Linked DNA regions of Neodiprion lecontei. The protein of the gene in region 2 binds, or shares a complex with, the protein of the main gene of each other region. Links are inferred from orthologs where the notes say so. Each region holds a gene or a part of one and is shown on either strand. Other genes may lie near its edges.

Region 1 (11,051 bases), on a different chromosome or scaffold from region 2:
ATAGTAAATTATTTTTCCCAATTACTTTGTACTCGCATCCAACTTTTTTAGTTGAATGTACTCGCATATATTCACACTTTATTCGAAATTTTTCAATCCATATAACCCGATGAGTATTGATTATTGATGAAAGATGACTGTTTTAATTATGGATGAAAGATGATTGTTTTAGTTATGGATGAAGGATGATTGACTATGGATATTCGTGCGCAGGTTTTTGTTTCTTATGAGGTATGAGATAATCACTAAAATGGAGAACGAGGTCAATTCGCAAAACAATTAACCACTAAACCAGATCTAAGCCTAAAAAATGAAAAGTTAATTTTTTAGTATAGTCAATAAAACTCAGTTAGCTGGAACAGATGAAAATATAATTAGTGACATATGTAGATATAGACAAAAATATAATTAACTTAGATAAGTAAAAAATATAAAGACAAATTAATTAGCTGAAACAGACAAAAAGATTGACGGGCTGAAACAGACAGAAGATTCGATTAGCTGAAACAGATAAAAGGTTTGATTAGCTAAAAGAGGCAGAATATTTGATTAGCTGAAACATACAAAAGGTTAGATAAGCTGAAATAGACAAAAAGATTGATTAGCTGAAAGAGGCAGTATATTTGATTAGCTGAAACAGACAAAAGGTTAGATAAGCTGAAACAGACAAAAAGATTGATTAGCTGAAAGAGGCAGAATATTTGATTAGCTGAAACAGACAAAAGGTTAGATAAGCTGAAACAGACAAAAAGATTGATTAGCTGAAAGAGGCAGAATATTTGATTAGCTGAAACAGACAAAAGGTTAGATAAGCTGAAACAGACAAAAAGATTGATTAGCTGAAAGAGACAGAAGATTCAGTTATCTGAAACAGGTAACAGGTTTGATTAGCTGAAACAGACAAAAATATGGATTAGCTGAAATAGACAGAAGGTTCGATTATCTGAAATAGATAAAAGGTTTCATTAGCTGAAACAGACAAAAGGTTTGATTAGCTGAAACAGACAAAGGTATGGTTAGCACAATCACATAAGTCCATATATTGCCAAAAAATGGGTCGAGCCCAACATGATATTCGCTTTAATATTCGTTGCTTCGATTATTAATTGTATTGAACAGACATTCTAAATTGTTTGAATTGACATCTCTTTCTGCTTTGATTTATTAAAGTGAATATCTTTTTTGACTGAACATTCTATAGTTCTCAGTGCATTTGTTAAAAAATTAGTTTTGTTACCCTGAAACAGAAAATAATACGATCAGTTAAACGAGTATTTCTGTACACTTCAGATATATTTCATAAATACTTACGCCAAGAATCTCCACTGTATAAGTCTACACTACCGAGATTTTTTTTTTCTGCGCGTTGAGCGTCGGCTTTCAAATGCTGCGCTTTATTTTATAACTGAAAGGTATCAAGTCCACGCGCAAAAGGCGCTGTGGAACTTGAAAAGTTTATTATTCATCAAAAAATTGACCAAAGAGCTGAAAGATCAGCACATCGGGAGTGTGTAACTTTTTTATATACTGTTTGCAAGCTCGACGCGCAAAAAGGCGCGTTGGATTTCCGTTCTTAGTTTACGCGCAAAAGGCTGCGTCTAATTCTCGGGATTAACCTACGCGCAATAAGGCGCGACAGGTTAAACTGTCAAAAATTTGTAATATCTGGGACTTGTCCCAAAAATTCTGTGGAAACCCAATCCACATCTGTATCTTTTTGCATTAGATACATTGCTATGCAGATTGTTGTTCTCAGATTAAAAATCGAATCGAAATTCGGAGAGAGGTTGGAGGGCATGCATTATTGTGTGGCGTGACGGTCGGTGGTCCTCTTCGACGCGAAGACTTCGAGCTCAGCATCTCTCCCCATCTAGCGTACCACGGAACGCGATAGATGGTCCAGAGATGCGTTTTGCCCATTCAGACGATCACAGAAATCAATTGAATGGAATAATGATCGGTAATGACCAAATAATTGAATTGAATAACAATTGAAAAATGGTTGCAGAGTGACAAGGAAATGTAAATTTAATCTTGTTAAAATTCACATGCTTAAAAATGGCCCAGAGACTCGAATACGGAGTCTTTGAGCAAAAAAATCTCTGTGATCGTTTGACGCTGTGAATTACAAAAGTTAGTAACATCACGGTACATCGCGACCTTCCTACCCTTACCCGTTTCCCAACGGAACCACCCAACGGAAAAGAGAGACTCACACACACATGCATAAGCCCCGCGACGGATCCCAAAACGTCCACCTACCTACCCGGTTACCTATATTCGATCTAAACGATTCTCCATTTTTTCCAACACACATCATTCTTCATCATTTGCGCCGTGGTCGCTGACTTACATTTTCGTTGGTTACCTGTTCGGAGCAAAATGTTTTTGTATCGTAGTCTGCTTACTCATCGTCAGAATGAAGTATCGCGGTTGTATCCCGCCAACCGTAAAATTGTATGTATTATCTTAGTAAATTTTGGCAGACTATCGGTACATCAACCTTTTGTAAGATGGATTAGAAACATCCTGTACGTTAATTCGTATTTTTCTAAACGAGCTAAACCTTCAATTGATCAATACTTGCTGGCCGTAAAAAAGTTACAAATGATTCGAGACATAACAGGCAGTTTGATTAAGTTACATTATGCCAGACTTTGGAATTTTATCAATCAAACAATCATATGAGTACGATTAACCAATACCTGGAATATATTCAAATCTCAGGTGATGCCACCGCTTAAACGACATCATCGGTAAATTCAAACGTAGATTATTACATCAGTTGCGAAACACAATTCGATCTCGCGAGTGCCGAGTAAGCGATGGTTACCTGTCGCGATGCTCATTCCACTTTTAGCAACGTGCAAAATTTCTAACTTCAATTAAGCTACGGTAAATTAAATTGCGAATAAAGAAATTATTCGACTGAAAGTCAAGCACGTTGCGATCGTGAATGAGCCTATCCATGCAGCTAAAAAATCGTAGATTTGTGTAACAGTTGTTACCGCCACGCCACGTGACAGAGGAATCCCAGGGAAATACCCGTAACCTGACACATGCAAACTCACCAACGTTGCCGAGCAATGGAGAAGTTACTCGGATGTCTCTGCTTAAATCTGGAATAAACAAAAAAGAAAACTCGAATTAATTTAGCAAGTTGGCTTTTCAGTTGTCAAATCAATTATTACTGGTGTCTACAACCATATTTATTGACAAGACTGAAGCCGTCAGCCAGAATTAACAGCCAAACGTTCTCGTGTTTATTCGCATAAGGTAGTGAAATCCGAAAATCAAAATTTTGTGAAATACCTCGAATCCCCGATACTTTTATATAATTATTAGGATAAAACAGTACCGCATTTTTCTATCTCCAAAAAATTTAACACATTTGACTACTAACATTGGGTGGTAGCTTCAGCTTAATTATTTATCGACTGTATGTTACGCAAGGACAAAATTTCGGCTTCGAATGTACATACATACCACCCTGAATTATCAAACAATGAATAAAAGAAGTATTGTTACCTCCTCTGGGCTGCTCCACACTTTACATGTTGTAGTTCTGGCAGCATCTCAGGCTGAACAGTGGAACACCGCACATTTTACACTGAAAACTTTATAAAGCTATAATCTAAGAATCTGCACCGTAATAACACTTGATTCTACATTCACTCTGACTTTCTGTGCTGTAGCTAGCTACCTGATCAATTGAATAGCGAAAACATGTCAACAGTGCAACTACGCATTTATCAGAAACAAGTGAACCGAAAATAAAAACAACACCGACCGACACAGAAAGAGAAGAATCGGTATCACTCGCTGAAGTTACACCAAACAATGAAAAATTGGGACACGAAATTCACCTTCAACGTTCGTAGAATGTATTTATTTCAATAACTCGGTTTTTCTTCAGGCTATGCACTGCTCCTCGTGTAATATTAAAAATGAGTATGGTGCGAGTACACTGATCGAACAACGTGACACAACCTGAACAACGCGGTCTGAATTTCGATCTGATACTGAGAGCACATAACTTCTCTCTGGTTGTTCGGAAGCAACTGATGCCGCACGGCGTTCAGAAGAAACGGATTTGAATCAGTTCTCTGCAGGACATATGATACCCCCCTTTGCGCTCTGTTTCTTTTCCCGTGAAGTGGGGGTAGCAGCTTGGCAGAGTGACAGAGAGGGGGGGGGGGGGGGAGAATTATTATCTTCTGTCCTTCAGAGAACCAATTTAAATCTGCTCATGAGACGCTTACGCCGTTGTTTACGCTCTATTTTATATATGCTCTCAATGGCCGGGTGAAAATACCACGTAAGCGACGCGCAATATGATCAAATGTTTACAGGATTTCCCTACATGCGAGGTCAGGTGTAAGTTTAAATTGTCTGACCACTTTCGGTCGAATGGAATACACCTAAAACAGATGTAAAATGAGAAAAAAAAATTGTGAACCTTATCCTTTTTCAATCCGTTAAAATTGGCCAATTGGTGCAGAGAATATTTTATTTTCAAAAAGTTTAATTTTACAAACGCTATTTGGCGGCATAAGCTGAAATTAGTCGAGGCCGAAAATGGGAGTCGTGTTTCCGATATTGAAACGCGTTAGTTTGTGCCTCTTTCCTTTTTTAGGGCATGCACAAGAGGTGCGTGATCCTCAATATTCCCGGTTTCTTCTCTGTGGTGTAAAGGTGCCGTTTAATATTCGCTACTATTATTTTGTTGATCAAAAATAATATGGCGAAGTTTGATCTGACGGCCCGAATAGGGCAATACCTTGATCGGCATCTGGTATTCCCGCTGTTGGAATTTCTATCTGCAAAGGAGGTGAGTGATTCTCTGCCAGCTTGATTGACTGTCATCAGGTTGTTGAGCATGGCGGTTTTTAGGTTATCGATGAATAACGCGACGTTGAATCGCCATTACAGATTTATGACGAGAATGAGCTTCTACAGGCGAAATTGGACATCCTGAGCAAAACCAACATGATCGATTACGCCATCGATATCAGGAAACAACTTTATCCGAATTTCGAAGTGCCGGAGGTAGGCGATTATGTCGACCAATGGTTCAGGTTTCGTTAATGATAATTAACAATCGAACCGTCGATAAGGATAAAATGCTTTCCATCTCCCATGGTTTGGTGAAAATTTTTAAGATTTAATATTTTTACAGGAACTTAACGAACGCCGTAATCGGGTATTGCAAGAGCTTGGTGATCTTGAAGATAATGCCTCAGTCATCTTGAAATTGATGAGCGATGATGATACTATGGAAACTATGGAAAAAATGAGGGACTCGAAGTCCCTCAACCACTTTCTCCTTAAGGAATCAGATGTAATTCTATATTTATATATTGTCTGAAGTATTGAGATATGTTTATCAATTTTTCACGTGTATGCAATAACAGCATACACTTCTTGAAGTATCGAAAGCATGAAATTTTTTTTTTTTTATCGAATGGGAATAATGAATTGTTGACGGCTTACAAGGAAGAAAAATATTGCTGGAGTTATCCTGAATTTAGGGTTTTGGATTTTTTAGAATTTATTGTTGTCTTATGTTCTAACACTTTAATGATGCGATAAAAATTACAGTTCAGAGTGGAGATGATGGAGAGCTTGGTCAAGTTGGCAAAGTATCGTTATGAGTGCGGAACCTACTCGGTTTCAACGTCGTACTTGTACTTCTACATGCTTGTGATGCCACCAACCGATAGAGTAAATATTCTTCAAATTTTATAGACTTATTTGCGCTAAGGTTACATAATAATTCATGGTGTCATGTGACTTACTTTTTTAAACGTGACTATTTTCTGTTCAACAGAACTACTTGGATGTCCTGTGGGGAAAATTGGCGTCAGAAATCTTAGTTCAAAATTGGGAAACCGCGCTGGAAGACGTTAATAAACTCAGAGAGTACATAGACAGTAACGCTATTGGCAACACTCTTCAGGTTCTTCAACAACGCACTTGGCTCATTCACTGGAGTCTGTTCGTTTTCTTCAATCATGTTAAAGGCAGGGACCTTATCATTGAAATGTTCTTGTACAGACCACAGTGAGTACAAACACTCCCGATTTTGTCTAAGAATAGAATTTACATTATATTGTTTATCGATTCGTTGATGAAGAAGATTTTTGACGCAATTTTGTTTCATCTTGTATAATTTTCCTACTCATTCGTCAATTCTGGTGTTGAGTGGGTGACAAAACAGAGCCTTTTGGATTACAGCTACTTGAACGCAATACAGACAATGTGTCCGCATATTCTACGCTATTTGGCAACAGCGGTAATCATAAATCGATCGAGGCGGTCTACCCTGAAAGATCTGGTGAAAGTTATCCAACAGGTAAATTCAGTTACGAAATCTTGATCTGCAGTGTTTGATAATTCCGGTATAATTTTCACGTTTAGGAATCCTACACGTATCGGGATCCAATCACTGAATTTTTGGAGCACCTGTATGTGAACTTTGATTTTGATGGAGCTCGTCAGAAACTGCAAGAATGTCAGACAGTCGTCTTCAATGACTTCTTCTTAATTGCTCTGCTGAATGAGTTTGTCGAAAACGCTAGATTAATGATATTCGAAACATTCTGCAGAATCCACCAATGCATCAGTATTGAGTAAGTATTGGCCTACTTTGTAGGACATTCTAATTTTGTAATTTTTCGTGGAGATGATTGGATGCCAGCTAATTTTTATGCTCTTTTAGTATGTTGGCTGAAAAACTTAATATGAAAGCTGATGTTGCGGAATGTTGGATAGTCAATCTAATTCGCAATGCAAGATTGGACGCAAAGATTGACAGTAAGCTGGGACATGTTGTTATGGGTGGACAGCCAGCTTCTCCGTACCAACAGCTGGTTGAAAAAATCGAGACTCTGAGCGTGCGAAGTGAAGCTCTGGAGAATCTTATTGAGCGGAAATTGAAGGCGAAAAATCAGGATTCAGTTAGCATAGTCTGGAATTAGCAAAGGTATGTATTGGTTCTTTCAGATGAGTTTAAACGTGCAAAAATACGATATGTTATAGAAAATGTTATTTGACCATGCTCTATTCATTTCAGGTTCTACAATGTATAAAGATTTCCACCATTTTAAACATTTTATAATCAGGATAACGATGTTCAGACGAAAAACGAAGAATTTTGTAACAAACTTCCACCGGATGTGTACCGTTTTTCTACAGTCATTTAAGATCACCATGTCAAGTCAATTTCGTTGTAAGCAGTACATACGTGAAATCAATAAACTGATTCTAATGAAAAGAATTCAATTTGACGATTAGCCCCTTGGTATTCGTACGGTTTATAGGAATAATCGAAAAATTATTTTCAAAATGATAAAAAATATTTCATATAAACTTAGAAAGAAATATAATTTGTCAAAATTTATTATTTCATATGCCAAAAATACAAAATATTCTTGTATAAAAAATGGTATCTCGCAGAAAGTAGACAAGAAAAAACGTTGTAACGAATAGACTTTTGGATTTATTAAATATAGTTAATATTTTTATTATCTGTAGTATGAAATTTATATCTTCATATTTGTTATTCTCATGAATACTAGTTTGAATACTTTGAAAGTTACGTTATCTCCTTATACGCCTGATGCATGAGAAAGATTAAAAAAAAAAAAAAAACCAGTAAATAATTAAAACATTCCCGTTGAGCTGGTCGGATGAAAAAGTCTCCAATTTTCGCAAAGCGGAACAGTCTTAAAACTTTTGACTTATCTCTGAATATTTAATCTCTAGTTCCAGTTGTTTGGAAGTAAAGTTCGATAAAAAAAAAACAATTTGAAAATTTATCGTTCACTTTAAAAAATTAAAAATTATATATTTAAATAGCACTATTGTAACTAACGTATCTAAATAACTTTTAGGAACATATTCTTTATCCTGTGTACAATAAATCATAGATGCAATGATTACAGTTAAAAAAAAATATTCATCAGCACTACTCATTGATAATCGCTGATGAAAAGAAATCACAGCCAGTGTAAGAATTCTTGTCAATACAATACGTAATCACTGTTCTCCAGTAAGGATCTTGTGATAATAAATGTGGATTTCCCAGAATAATTAATAGTGCCCGAGCCCTGGTAATAGCGACATTCAAACGGTGTGGAGAAGCGATAAAACCAAGACATCGTTTAACATCTTCTTGGACTAGATCGCTTATCGATCTGACTGCAGATAGAATAATAACATTTCGTTCTTGTCCTTGAAACTCTTCCACACTGCCAACTTTTGGCAATGTTGTATTCATCTCTGCAAGTAAATCCCGAATATGACGAGCCTGGAGAAAATATAAAAATGAAATAGAACCAAATTTTTGCACTCTGTATAATTAATCCGAAATTGAAACGTTTCAGAATCTTACTTGTTTAGTGTAAGGTGCTATAATCCCAATATCGTCAGGGCCAAGTCCGTGGCTGTAAAGTTTTAGTATATAAAAGTAAGCCTGAGCAGCTTCTTCCGGATTATACCAGCTTGGACTATCTTGATCCTGATAATTCTCGCCGAGAACGCCATGGAAAACTATCGCAGGTGGAAAATCGTCGCGTTCAGGTAAATCGTTAGCGACTGAAGTGAGCAGGTCACCTTCTTTTCCTTGCCTTGTAATCTAGAGATTTGACAAACGATCATTAATTATCATTCAACCAAGAGAGCTAAAGATTATTACCTGCGCCTCGAGCTCAGAATCATAGAATAACGAATTCGGAAGTGCGAGAATTTCCGGCAAGCTGCGATAGTTCATGATGAGTTTAGTAACTAGTCGTGGATCGTAGCCCCTCTCAAATCCTTCCAAGTCTCGTTGGTAAGGGAAGCGCTGAAGCAACCGAGACAGAAAAGACAACCCAAGTCCAAAATGCGATGCGTATTTACTTTGGACGACAGGTCCAAGCTGCATTGGGTCTCCAGCCAAAATTACATGCCCGGTATCGGCATGAATGAAATTTAATGGCACTAATATTTCCGGCTCTGTAGCTTGTCCAGCTTCGTCAACAAAAACGTGGGTGAAGTGACCTCGAGGAAAGCCCATGTTATGCAGTATGCCCAATGAGATGCAAGTACCGACTGTGATTCTGTGCCGTCCCAAAACACTTGCACTGCAGCTCGGTCTTATGCCGTTGGCATTGTGGTCAGGAGTATTTCGAGTTCCCTCTCGAGCCAAGTCACCTACAGCGCAATACGGGATTAGTTTCTGCGGAATTGACCCATCTGTGGTGCAGTGAAACCCTATCAATCTGACCAAATCGCCCGGTTTCAAAACTCCGCTGTCTAAAAGTCTTTCCGATATTAGATTGGCTGAACTATTCGAAGGCGTCGCAACCAACAGTCTGCTTTCGGGTATGGTCCTAAATATCTGCAATATCGTTTCGCAAAGAGTTATCGTTTTCCCTGTTCCTGGTGGCCCAAATATGACGTAAGGCAACGGGTGAGCTGGACTCTGCAAAACGTTACGCACAGCCTCTTTCTGGTAGTAATTCAACGCCCTGTTGAACCATACTAATTTGCGTTTTTTTATTTGTAAAACGCACGAATCAGTGTCTCCAGTCTTCGAACATGCCTGCGCATTCGGTTGCAGGCCTGGAGTAACATCATTTTGTCGTGCAAACGTACTGTTTCTGGATTCTCCATCGTCACTCATTTCCAAAAGTTCCAGTTGCGGTGGTTTGGGTACAATTTTTGTAGGAAATAAAAATTCTTTTCCCAGATGATTTATCGCCAAGTTAACGGCCGTGTGACAGCGACTCGACGGTGTTTGGGAGCACTTGAATGTCACTTCGCATCGTTCGCCGTTATATTTTTCATGGAAAGCTGGATTGAACTTGAGTAAAATCTCCGAGTTCTTTACCTCGTGAATGCATCCCTCGTACTTTATTTCACCTATGAAAAATAAGGATAAAAGCATCAGTTTCAATGACAAGAGTAGAAACTTCCTCTGTCAGGAGTCGACGAAGTTAAAAGTTGTGAGAACTGCTCATAATTCACCTTTGCTGGAGTCCCAATTGAAAGAAACTATGGCTTTGTCTCCGACTAAGAGCGATGGTCGTTTTTCCGCTAGTCCTGGCACTTCAAGGGCGAGAAATTCTCCGCAAAATCTCATGACTGTACTGCTTATGTCGTATCGTTGTAAAGCTATAGAATCAGCTATGCTTTCCAAGTACAACAGAGCATGAAATCGATCTCTGTAATTTTGAAACGTCAAATCTTCGAATAAGCAAGGCACGGTTTCTTCTATCGCCACAATGCCGCTCCGAAAAGGTATTTTATCATTTTCTAGGCGCAATACGACATCCCATAAGTGTTGAGGTATTTTGAATATTCCAGGCCTGACAGTAATGAACTTTGGTGCTTGACAGGTTCTAACGCCACGAACACAGGTCGATTGATCGAACTCGTTTTGCTTGTAAATTTTGTTTCCCCTTGGATTTTGACCGCTTTGCACGTTATGATTTACGGAGTTTTTCAAACTAACATTGAAGCGAAACATGCGATGGACTTTCAGATGTTTGAAGATGAACAGAAACATTTCTTCCGAATACCCGACAAATTTTGCATGGCATCTGAATACATATGTTATTGATTCCGAAGGCTGCAATACTGACGCAGTATCTATTTTTGGTCGCAACAAAGTCAATTGCGACATGGATTTTTTTGACAGAAAACATCCTTTGAGTAACGTCTGTGGGTGAAGTCCATTATTTTTTATCTCTATCGAAATATCTCTCATTTCAAGCAATTGCAAATCGAACATCAAATTATTTGTGACAACTATCCCATATTTTTCTTCTCCAAAAGTTTCTTGTTTTTCATTTACAGTTTCAGTTTGAGCCTGATTATTGAACAATTGTCTTTGCGACACCTAGAAAGGACATAAATGAACTTGTACAATTTTTCAGAGGACTTCAGTAATCTATTACACTCAGGAATTCATTTTACCTGATGCATTAGCGGAACGACCGACAATGACCTCCACGTCTGCATTCCTTGATCACTTTCGATGCTATCTGCGACAACTTTATCGCCGA
Region 2 (10,426 bases):
AATCCACACGCTGTGGATCCAGGTGAACATAAAGAAGGAATGAATAAGACGAAAGAAGAGAGTCATTAGTGTTAATTAATGGGATCGAAGAAAACATTGCAAGTAGAGGATTGTGTGACGAATTCGATTCACTGATTTTTTGTCACTTGATTTTGGTCAATGGACAAACTAAGAACGTCGAGGCGTAATTTTCAAGAGCAACAGATTATTCTTCATAATTGTTATTACTTTATCTACAGAATACTCGCGGATTTATCGAACTGGTGACTACGCCAGGATCGTAAAAGGCATAATGATTTACGAGGGGAGGACTGACGCCCAAATTAAAATCCGAGGACACAGGGTTGACCTCGCAGAAGTGGAAAGAGCTGTCGTGGCATCCCCTGCTGTCGACAAAGCGGTCGTTCTCTGTTTTAAACCCGGTGAACTTTCGCAGGTAAATGAGAGGCAAAGAACATGTGGAATAATGTTTGAATATTGAGAGATTACAAATCGCAGTCATTTTACCTCGACTTAAATTGTGATGCGTTGAATAAAGATGGTATCAACTCTGCAATTTTTTCAAATGTGGCGAATAGTGTGAATACCTTGATAGTTTTGACTTCCATTTACCACAACTAATTATCTGTCTTGTTACAGGCACTCATTTCGTTTGTGACGGCCAAAGACAACATACATATTTCCGGACTGCAGATCGAATCTTATCTGCACACCATTCTACCGCCTTACATGATACCGCAAGTGATAGTGATTGATTCCATTCCTCTATTGGTGAATGGAAAGACTGACAGACAGACACTGCTGATGCAATACGAATTGATGAGCAACAGTGAGTGAGAAACAATGATAAAATACAAGAAGCTAAATCCCTACTTTACTTTTTTCCAAACTTCTTCTTCATTTTATTTTGCAGAAGAGGAAATCGCCGTCGATTGCAACTACGAAAATGTCCCGCTGTCTCTTCTCCCTGCAGCTCAAGTCCTCTTTCCCACGGTAGCATCAGTGGTCGGACGTAGCGCTCGAGCAGCAGTGACCATCGACGCTAACTTTTACGAGCTGGGAGGAAACTCTCTGAATTCGATCTACACCGTTACCAGACTTCGCGACCAGGGCTACCAGATTGGAATAACTGACTTCATAAGCGCAAAGAACATGGGGGATATACTGCAGAGGATGAATGTCGACTCAGATTCCGACACCGATGGCTCTGCCAACGGAGAGCAGTACGTTTTTGAGGAGCTCAATAATTCCCACAAAGAAGACGTTGTCGAGTGAGTATACACTTCGATAGTATTGATCGAAAAGCTGCTTAACGATAGGATTCTTTTGGAATAAACCTTATCTTTGCTAACGTCTCAACTACAGGATGATCACGGACAGTTTTTACTCGAAAGCTGACCTGGAGAAGTGGTTGATGCCTGACATTACCAGAGAAGATTACTCAGATCTGATGCACAAGCTTTGGGATCCTCTGGTAGAGAAAGGATTAAGTTTCATAGTGAAATCCACGTCAGGCGAGGCGCTAAGCGTCGCGTTGAATTTCGACGCGAGAGACGAGCCTGAGGTTACGATAAATTCAAAACTGACAGTAATATTTGAGTTTTTGGAGTACCTTGAGGGGCCAATCCGAGAGGGACAGCTGCCCAAGGGGAAGGGACAAATTTTGCACTGTTTTATGATGGGAACCAACAGCAGTCTCACTTCAGCTGAGAATATCGCTCTTATGAGGGAGATGGAGGAACATGTGCTCAGAGTCGCCAGGCAGAAGGGCTTCGCTGGCATATTTACAACAAACACCAGCCCGCTCACACAGGTAATTGGCTTTCTCTGTATCTAGAAATTTTGGGAAAAACGTTATAAGAATGTCGAAAATAACATTTTTTTTTACTTGCCAAATATAAAACTAATTTATCAAGTCGTCTTTACAGCAACTGGGTACTGATATCTACAACTATGAAGTCTTACATGACTACCAAGTCAACAAATACATTGCGCCCGATGGTTCGATGCCGTTTGGAAACGCGCCAGACAGTCAAAGAGCAATCTGCTGTTGGAAAAGCGTTTAGCACTTTCTGGTCAACAGATTGGAAATTATTTGTAGTTGCTCATGTGATTAGTTTGACTGGTTAGTGATAGTGAAGATCTGTACAGAATTGTAAATAAGTATTCAACCCGACGAGGATATTACCAAATAGATATCATGCATGAAATAAATCGAAGGGCGCACACGAACTAGAAATTTTAATGTCTTTACATATTTATTTGTCTGTAAAATGAAGAAAACAACTGCTTTGCTCCTGTTTCCTCCAATCATTATTATAAGGTACCTGAAGTTCTTCTCACGAACGTTAAGCATGCCTCAGTGTGGAATAAATTTAAGTTACATCTGATACTCTTTAAATGTCTTTAGCCGATGAATACGTATTTGTTGCAAGTTTTAAAAGTAACATTCAACTGCTATAACGGAGAAATCTGTGCGAACCCCATAATCATTCATAATTATTTATGATTTAGGAAGTAGTTTTATTTGAATATATATTGATTAAGGTATTTAGCATTAAAAATCACAATGATTTACACTATTCATCTGTCAAATATTGTAAATGCACTTATCACTAGCACCTGCCTAAATAAATCGTAATTCATAATAATTTACGCAAGATCCTGTTTTTTTTTACCTTATCCCTGAGATTTTCAAGAAAATGAAAATCAAAGAGCCACGCATCCACGATTAACTACATAAATTAACAACTGAACAAGTGATGTAACATTCGCTCACCTTATTCCAATGGAAACCTCTACTTGTAAGAGGACTCGGAACAAAATAAGAACATATTTTGTGTGTGTAAGAGATCACAGCATGATTAGGTTTTCGGCGATTGCTAAATTGATGAGAAAGTTCTCGACTGCAGGGGCTAAGTTTTTCTCTTTAAACGTTTCGATGGATACCATTTTTCTACCTTCAGGCGTTGTTAAACTTGCCAACGATTTTAACTGATTCAAAAGATCTTGTGTTTTATCTGAGATCTCTGATGTTATTTGCACCTCTGAGTAAGATGGATTATCTCCGAGCTGGACCATGAACAAGGCTATTTCCTTGTGCGTCTTTGTCATCGTTAGACTTTCTGGAAAAAAAAAATCACATGGATGTTAAGGATTGCGTGTTTATGATATACTTGCGGTCAAGCGTTTCGTAAAATTTTTTCACGAAAAGGGAGTAAAGATATTGGATGAATAATCTGAAAAAAGTTGACGAGCGGTAAATCTTCTGTCTCGAAGAGTGGCTTGTACCAATACACTGTGAAAATGGTTATGCAAATTATAGCAATTTTGTAATACCTTTTGCGTGTGACGCAATAGTGATTTCTCTTGCAGGTAAATTCACGAGTAGATCGTAAAGCTCAGCCCGTGAAGCGACTAGACTATCCCTGCACCCTGCGATATACGAAGAATGACCCTGAAATATCCAAGCAAAGATATTTAATAATGGCCAATGTATGAGACAACAAACGGGCTAAATTTCAAAGTTCCATGAGGAGAAATAAACCTTAAGCTCCAGTATCTCATCTTTAACCAGGTCGACCCATGGAAATAAATATTCGGTAACATTTCTGTGTTTCATAAAAGCAGGGAAGGTCCGTATCCATCTAAGAAGCTGTTCAAGGCTGTGGTGGTAGACTATTATCCGTTTCTTCAGCAATATCGCTGTGTATATAAGAATTGTCTTCAGCTCAAAAGTCTTTATCAAGCCTCTGAGGTTGGTGCTGTTACTGGCAACTTTTCGATCGCTGTATTCATTGCAAACAAACGTTCCGTTATCTTGAGTTGCGCAAGAGCCTTTGGTGAATACGGATAAATAGAGCTGCAGCAACTCTGTTGGACTTCCAGTCCTACAGTACATTTTGCTCAAGACACGGCACAGTGCCTCGTATTTTGGTGGATTGAAATCTGTCGCGAATAAAACAAGCGCAAACTGTTTTACCTGTAGGAAATGAACGAAGAAATTATCTTTCACAGTTTCCCTAGAAATGCTGCGAAAAAATAGGGAAATTCTTTTTCTGATCACTCTAAGAGACAAGTAAATCAAAACTTTTAATCAAAATCAAAAATATTGAAATGACAATAGTAATTAACAAAATATCTTGCCCTGGGTAAATTATCGGAGTCGGAAACTTCGGTGCATTGAATATAGAACCAGGAGTTGTGAGAGTGTCTGGCATAGACGAAGGGTAAAATATCATTGTGCTCAGATTGTAGGGAAGATTTTCTGAGCACCAAAACTTTTTGCGATTCTGTAACGTCGGGGTAGTTCCAAGTCCACAGAACATCACCGTTGCAATCCTTTTCTGAAATTATTGACACCGTTTTTACTTTGGTCTGTCAATCAATATTTCCATTCGCAATTCGGCGCCGAAATCGAAACGTTATTCGAAATTACCACGCCGCTTCGACGCACAAACTCGCTAATGGCAGTAGAGTGAAGTTAGCCGCTGTTGGGTTCCATCTCTCTTACCGATGCGGTAGGTAATATACGTGAGGCAAAAAGCGGTGGACTTCACGTTACGGAAAATCCCGTGACCAACTAACCATTGAGCCAAAGTCAAAATACTGAGCTAAGAGCTCATGGGGCGAAATATACGATGCATATAGGGTGAATGCGTTAACGAATCGTTCGGCAACGATGCAAACGATGCAATTGGAAGTTTTTTTCGTAAATAATCGATCGAAATTACCGATTATGCCGCAGGAAAGCAGCTCCATTGCTGGCGCCATCTTGTTCCACGTGGGTACTACGTGAGTTGTTGAGGTTTTTTCACAGTCAGACAATATTATAGTACGACAAGTTTTATTACTGGAAATATATTTTTGTTAAATTTTCAAATTTAAAATCAGGAATTTCAGCCTGGAAAACGCGTTTACAACCGATTCACCATTTTTACATATAAACGGTCGTGATATTGAGCTTGTTCTTTCACCAGAACACGCGGTATCGTGTCCGTAGTTGGACGATTCGCGGAGGGAAAAACTCAAGGCGATCCCGGTCTTCCGAGTACTGAAAATTTTCACAACGTGTCTGATGTGAAACCAGTGATACTCGGCAACAAACAAGATGGCAAGATACGGGCAGCGACCCGAAAATGCTCTGAAAAGAGCCAACGGTGAGTCGCTTTTCTTTCGCTGACGTTTTTCAATATGGCAGGGTCGAGGGCCCCGGTTCTCATCAACCAAGGTTTTCACCCTCACGGCTCTTCGTATTCGGTATCTTTCCTTCGGTGAATCAGCGATCCTCGCGTGTTTTTCATCCCATGAAATTCCACCGGGTCCAAATCGCGGCAATGTCACCTGTCAGTACCTAAAACCGCCCTCTTTGATCTCCAATTCAATTCCTCTATTTTCCCTGTTTTCCGCTCTTCGTGTTGTCCGCCGTTACGTCACTGGCCGTATCATTTGCTTTAGGCATGCTTTCGGATCGCCAGAGATTATCCGAGTACCACATATTTTTAAACCCTCTTTTTCTGTTCTCAATTCCGCCCCGAAATGCTGCATGGCCACGATCCATACGGCGTCACCGGGGCGTGAAAAAAACATGTTAACCTAGTCCAAACTGCGTTTCACCCGCTCCAATTCGACGGCCAATTGCGTACAGACCGGTCATCGATTTTTCGGCTACAATGCATGAGCCACGTTTTACGACATTGAATTTAACAACCTTATCGTAACGAAACATTGGGGAAAAAATTACTGTTTTTTTAATTTTACTATGACTTTCAAGGAACTAAGATTTCGAAATATGAGAGTGTTTTGTTTTATTACGGTTTACTGAATTTCAAACAATTCCAAAATCACGAAATAACTGTTTTTCCCCAGCATGAATTTTCACTATAATGTTACTAACTTCACTAAGATCACGTTTTCACTTCATTGTCAATACCACGACATCGAACTTTGGCTGCTGCATAGTATAAAGATTTATTATTGTTATTATAATGAGTCTTATTGCAGGCAAAAATACAAGTATACAAATATACATTATACTACGATTAATCAAATATTGGTATACTATTGCATAAGTCCATTACGTTATGGCTGGAACAAACGAACGAAGAAAAATATATAAGACTAGACGCATCTCAAAAGTACCAAGATACTTGGGCGAGAGTGTCTTTACAGTAGGATTATAGCTGAATAAAAATTAATTTTTATGTGTGATTTGCACATTGGCTCTTGTTTTTAGTCCTTGATAAGTATATCGAACGACATAAGATATATTTTTGTGAAACTGTAAATAAGACAAAATTGTACAGTTGTATTAATTGAATCGAATTGACAACTTCACAATCGCACACTCAGAGTATAACAAGACGAAAATAAAATTTATTTAGTCATTTGGCAATTACGTACCTCGTGGAAATTACTAAATAAGTCTGTCTAATATTGAAGCCATCTAGGACTTTATATGTCTTTATCCCGTTGTTTCTTTAAAATAGTTTTGATGGTTATTTTGTTTATAAACTCTGGTGGTTTTATACATTTCTTGTAAGTTCCTTTCTGGGTTGAGATTCTATTACTCCAAATCGATAGAAACAAAGTCTTGTAAACGACTCGCGGATATTTTTTTTTCAGTCATGTAAATGTATCCCATCTAAAATTCCAGTGTAAAAGTCGGTCCCAGATATTTCAAACTATTAACTATTTCGATCTTTGTGTTCGGATTAATTTCGTCAAAGCGTAGTGTCAAATTTTTATCTGAACACACATTATCGACGTACTAATCAAAGTATATCATCTTAGTTTCATCGCATCACATTAATATTTGATTTAAGTTTTCTTTGACAGTTAAAGGGCAATTTTCCCGATTATCTCCTTTATACAACAATACTATATCATCGGCACAACCAACAATCCTAACCAGACATGGTAAAATGAAATTAAAAAACAACAGATGGTCCATAATTAATTACCTTAATATCGTTTGTGATGTCTACTTTTACTCTGTTTCCTATTAGTGAAATAGGATTTTAATATGTCATAAATTATGTCTTCTAGTTCAGCATCTTGTTCATTGTTGAAGGGTATATTGTGATTCAAAGAGTCGATGGCTTTGGATAGATCAACGAATATTCCCAAACATTTGTCAGAGTTATTAAGGGTTATTAACATACATACATAGTTGGTTACATCCATCGATGCCCCATCGGTAGAATTTTCTTTACGAAAACCATATTGCGAAGCAGGGAAAAATTTTTTTGAGTTTAAGAATCCGAAAATCCTTGTCCTCTGCCAGTGAACTTCCCACTTTTGCTAAAAATTCATTAACTTTATTAGCGATTTCTTCCTTCACTTTAGCAGTTCCGGTATAATCAAATTAGTCAGTCCAGCAATTATTTTTAGTAAGTTCCCATTTCTTTCTGAGGCTGCTGCCAACAACATCTCCAAGTTTCTTTCTTAAGTACAGGTTTTTACCTCTTTTCACTATGTTATTGACAAAGTTACATATCGGTAGAGTATCTGCTAGCTTTGTGATCCAAGCGATATCTAATCTTCGTTATTACAATGGTATCTTTATCAATTAAAGTCCATGGCTTTCTTGAGATTCGTTATATATTTGTCTAGGCAGGTCAGTAGCAGTTGTATGAATTCATTTATATTAAGGTTTTTTGTATTGCATGTAGAATGATTTCAGAACACTTGTTTTCTTCGTGATCTTAAGAAAAATACTATTCAAAAAAGAATCAGAGTGACAGATGAAAAAATGTTTCTCTACGCTTCTGCCAAAAAGCAATTGCCTATTTTAGAATACGCACAAATGTTGGCGTGCCGAGATAACGACACTAAAATTCGCAAATATTTTTTCCTTAAACACAGAGTTCATCGAGGTTGGAAAACCGGCGCGGGCACTAGACACCCTTCAGGAAGTGTTCCGGAACAAGAAATGGACGTACAATTGGTCGGAGTCGGTCCTGGAGCCGATAATGTTCAAGTACCTGGACCTCTGTGTGGAGTTGAAGAAATCTCACATAGCAAAGGAGGGTTTATTCCAGTACCGGAACATGTTCCAGTCCGTCAACGTCGGGAGTTTGGAAAATGTGATTCGCGGGTATTTGCGGATGGCCGAGGAGAAGACGGAGGCCGCGCGAAAGCAGAGTCAGCAGGCGGTCATCGACATTGATGATTTGGACAACCTTGCGACCCCGGAAAGTATATTGCTGTCTGCGGTTAGCGGTGAAGATGCGCAGGATCGCAGCGACAGAACAATCCTGACACCGTGGGTAAAATTTCTCTGGGAATCGTACTGCCAGTGTCTGGAATTACTGAGGACAAACGCTCATGTCGAGACACTCTACCACGACATCGCAAGGATGGCATTTCAGTTCTGCCTAGAGTATAACAGGAAGACGGAGTTCCGAAAGCTCTGTGAAAAGCTGCGCAAGCATCTGGAAGAAATCTGCAAGCTCCCGCCACTGGTTTCAAACGTCTCGATAAACAAAGCTGAGACTCAGCAGTTGAACTTGGAGACCCGTCTGAACCAGCTCGATTCCGCCATACAGATGGAGCTGTGGCAGGAGGCATACAAAGCCATCGAGGACATCCACGGGCTGATGAATCTATCTAAGAAACCTCCGGTACCCAAAACCATGGCCAATTACTACCAGAAGTTGGCTATGGTCTTCTGGAAGGCTGGTAATTACCTTTTCCATGCCGCCGCCCTTTTCAAACTCCTTCAACTCTCGAGGGAGATGAAAAAGAATATGTCGCTGGAAGAGCAGCAACGCATGGCGAACCGAGTTCTCCTCGCCACGTTGTCCATTCCTCTACCTTCGGCGCATCCAGAATTCGACCGTTTCATTGAAACGGACAAAAGTCCGCTGGAAAAGGCTCAGAGACTGGCGGTTCTGTTGGGTCTCACTCAGCCACCGACCCGGGTTTCGCTACTGAAGGACATCGTCAGGCTGAATGTTGTCAATCTGGCCTCACCGCACCTCCAGGACCTCTACTCGTGGCTCGAGGTGGAATTCCATCCGTTGGAATTGTGCACCCGTGTTGAGACCATCATTCAGAGCCTACAAGCCGATGAAAACAGCCCGTTGGTTCAGTACGTACCTGCACTACAGGACGTCACGTTGGTTCGTCTTGTTCGTCAGATATCGCAGGTCTACCAGACAGTTCAGTTTGCACGGCTGATCGAGCTCGCCAAGTTCACGACCGATTTTCACCTCGAGAGACTCCTCGTAGACTGCGTCAGGTACAACGATATGCAGATAAGGATCGACCACGGTAAGAAATGCATACATTTCGGGGTCGATCTCTCCGAAGCTCAGAGGGAGGATCATCCCGATGGGCCAGTTCTTCAAGCCATGCCTTCGGAGCAGATTCGGTGCCAGCTGGTAAATATGGCAACGGTTTTGCACCGTGCGGTGGCGGTAATTAATCCGAATAAGAAGAAGGTTGAGAGGGAGAAGCTAAGAACTCAGCTGGTGGCTCATTATCACGAGACGAAGGTGAAGGAACATCAGAGGATTCTTGGCCGACACAAGATCATCGAGGAGAGAAAGGAGTACATAGAACACATCAACAATGTCCGGGAGGAGGAGGAGATGAGGAGGCAAGAGGAACTCCAGCGGCAGCAGAAGCAGGTTGAGCAGAAACGACTGGAGCTTGAGAGGGAGGAGAGAGAGAAGAAACGATACCAGAGCGAAATGCAGCAGATCAAAGAGCGTCACCTCAAGGAAAGGATGCAGCAGATATCGCAGACAAAGCACGGGCAGAGAGTGCTCTCCAAGTTGGACGGTGACGAGAAGCTGGACGCGGAACAGATCGCGGTTCGCGAAGCGGAGGAACTTCAAAAGGAGCGTAGGGAAATGCAGCAGAAGCTCAAATCCCAGGAGAAGAAGGTCGACTATTTGGAACGAGCCAAACGACTCGAGGAAATTCCACTTTTGGAGAAGGCTGTCGAGGAGAAGAACGAACTCGCTAAACAGCAATGGGAACAGCAGGAGGCTGAGCGAATCGCGGCGGCGATCGAGGAGCGACAGCAGGCGGTAAAGACGCGTGAGCGCATGGCCAGGATGAAGGAGGACCACGACACGTTCTTGGAAAGGATTCTAGCCGAGCGTAGGAACATTTATCTTGAGAAGTTGAACAACTACGAGGTGATGATACGCGAGGAAAGAGCCAGGCGACTCCTTGAGAGGAAAATTGAACGCAAGGAGGAGCGCAGAATCAAGTGGGAGAGAGAGAGAGCCGAGGCTGCGGAGCGCAAACGACTCGAAGAACAGCGAGCCAGGGAAGAGGAGGAGAGAAAACAGCTTGAGGAACTGAGACTCCAGCGCGAGGAGGAGGAGAGAATATTGCGAGAAGAGGAGGAAGCCAAGGAGCAGGAACGGATGGCCAAGCTTGAGAGGCAGGCCGAAATACGAAGGGCACG

What was found.
Region 1: eukaryotic translation initiation factor 3 subunit A (region 2) and eukaryotic translation initiation factor 3 subunit E share a complex: the UniProt entries of both Drosophila melanogaster proteins name them as parts of the eukaryotic translation initiation factor 3 (eIF-3) complex. The link is inferred for Neodiprion lecontei from reciprocal best matches to the Drosophila melanogaster genes eIF3a and eIF3e.

What each region holds. Positions count from the first base shown.
Region 1 is NC_060266.1:21,378,552-21,389,602, reverse strand, and holds eukaryotic translation initiation factor 3 subunit E, read left to right. Parts: upstream 1-4,624; 5' UTR 4,625-4,741; coding exon 4,742-4,831; intron 4,832-4,932; coding exon 4,933-5,049; intron 5,050-5,179; coding exon 5,180-5,341; intron 5,342-5,601; coding exon 5,602-5,724; intron 5,725-5,830; coding exon 5,831-6,063; intron 6,064-6,237; coding exon 6,238-6,355; intron 6,356-6,420; coding exon 6,421-6,632; intron 6,633-6,721; coding exon 6,722-6,980; 3' UTR 6,981-6,985; intron 6,986-7,075; 3' UTR 7,076-7,769; downstream 7,770-11,051. Other genes in the region: probable RNA helicase armi, read right to left, coding at 7,970-8,311, 8,396-8,638, 8,699-9,906, 10,012-10,885, 10,963-11,051. UniProt on the Drosophila melanogaster protein: Component of the eukaryotic translation initiation factor 3 (eIF-3) complex, which is involved in protein synthesis of a specialized repertoire of mRNAs and, together with other initiation factors, stimulates binding of mRNA and methionyl-tRNAi to the 40S ribosome.
Region 2 is NC_060262.1:4,540,026-4,550,451, forward strand, and holds the start of eukaryotic translation initiation factor 3 subunit A, read left to right. Parts: upstream 1-4,962; 5' UTR 4,963-5,110; coding exon 5,111-5,159; intron 5,160-7,866; coding exon 7,867-10,426. Other genes in the region: mycosubtilin synthase subunit C, read left to right, coding at 1-22, 240-436, 640-829, 914-1,271, 1,366-1,813, 1,929-2,066; putative DENN domain-containing protein 10 B, read right to left, coding at 2,854-3,125, 3,340-3,457, 3,548-3,982, 4,147-4,346, 4,734-4,773. UniProt on the Drosophila melanogaster protein: RNA-binding component of the eukaryotic translation initiation factor 3 (eIF-3) complex, which is involved in protein synthesis of a specialized repertoire of mRNAs and, together with other initiation factors, stimulates binding of mRNA and methionyl-tRNAi to the 40S ribosome.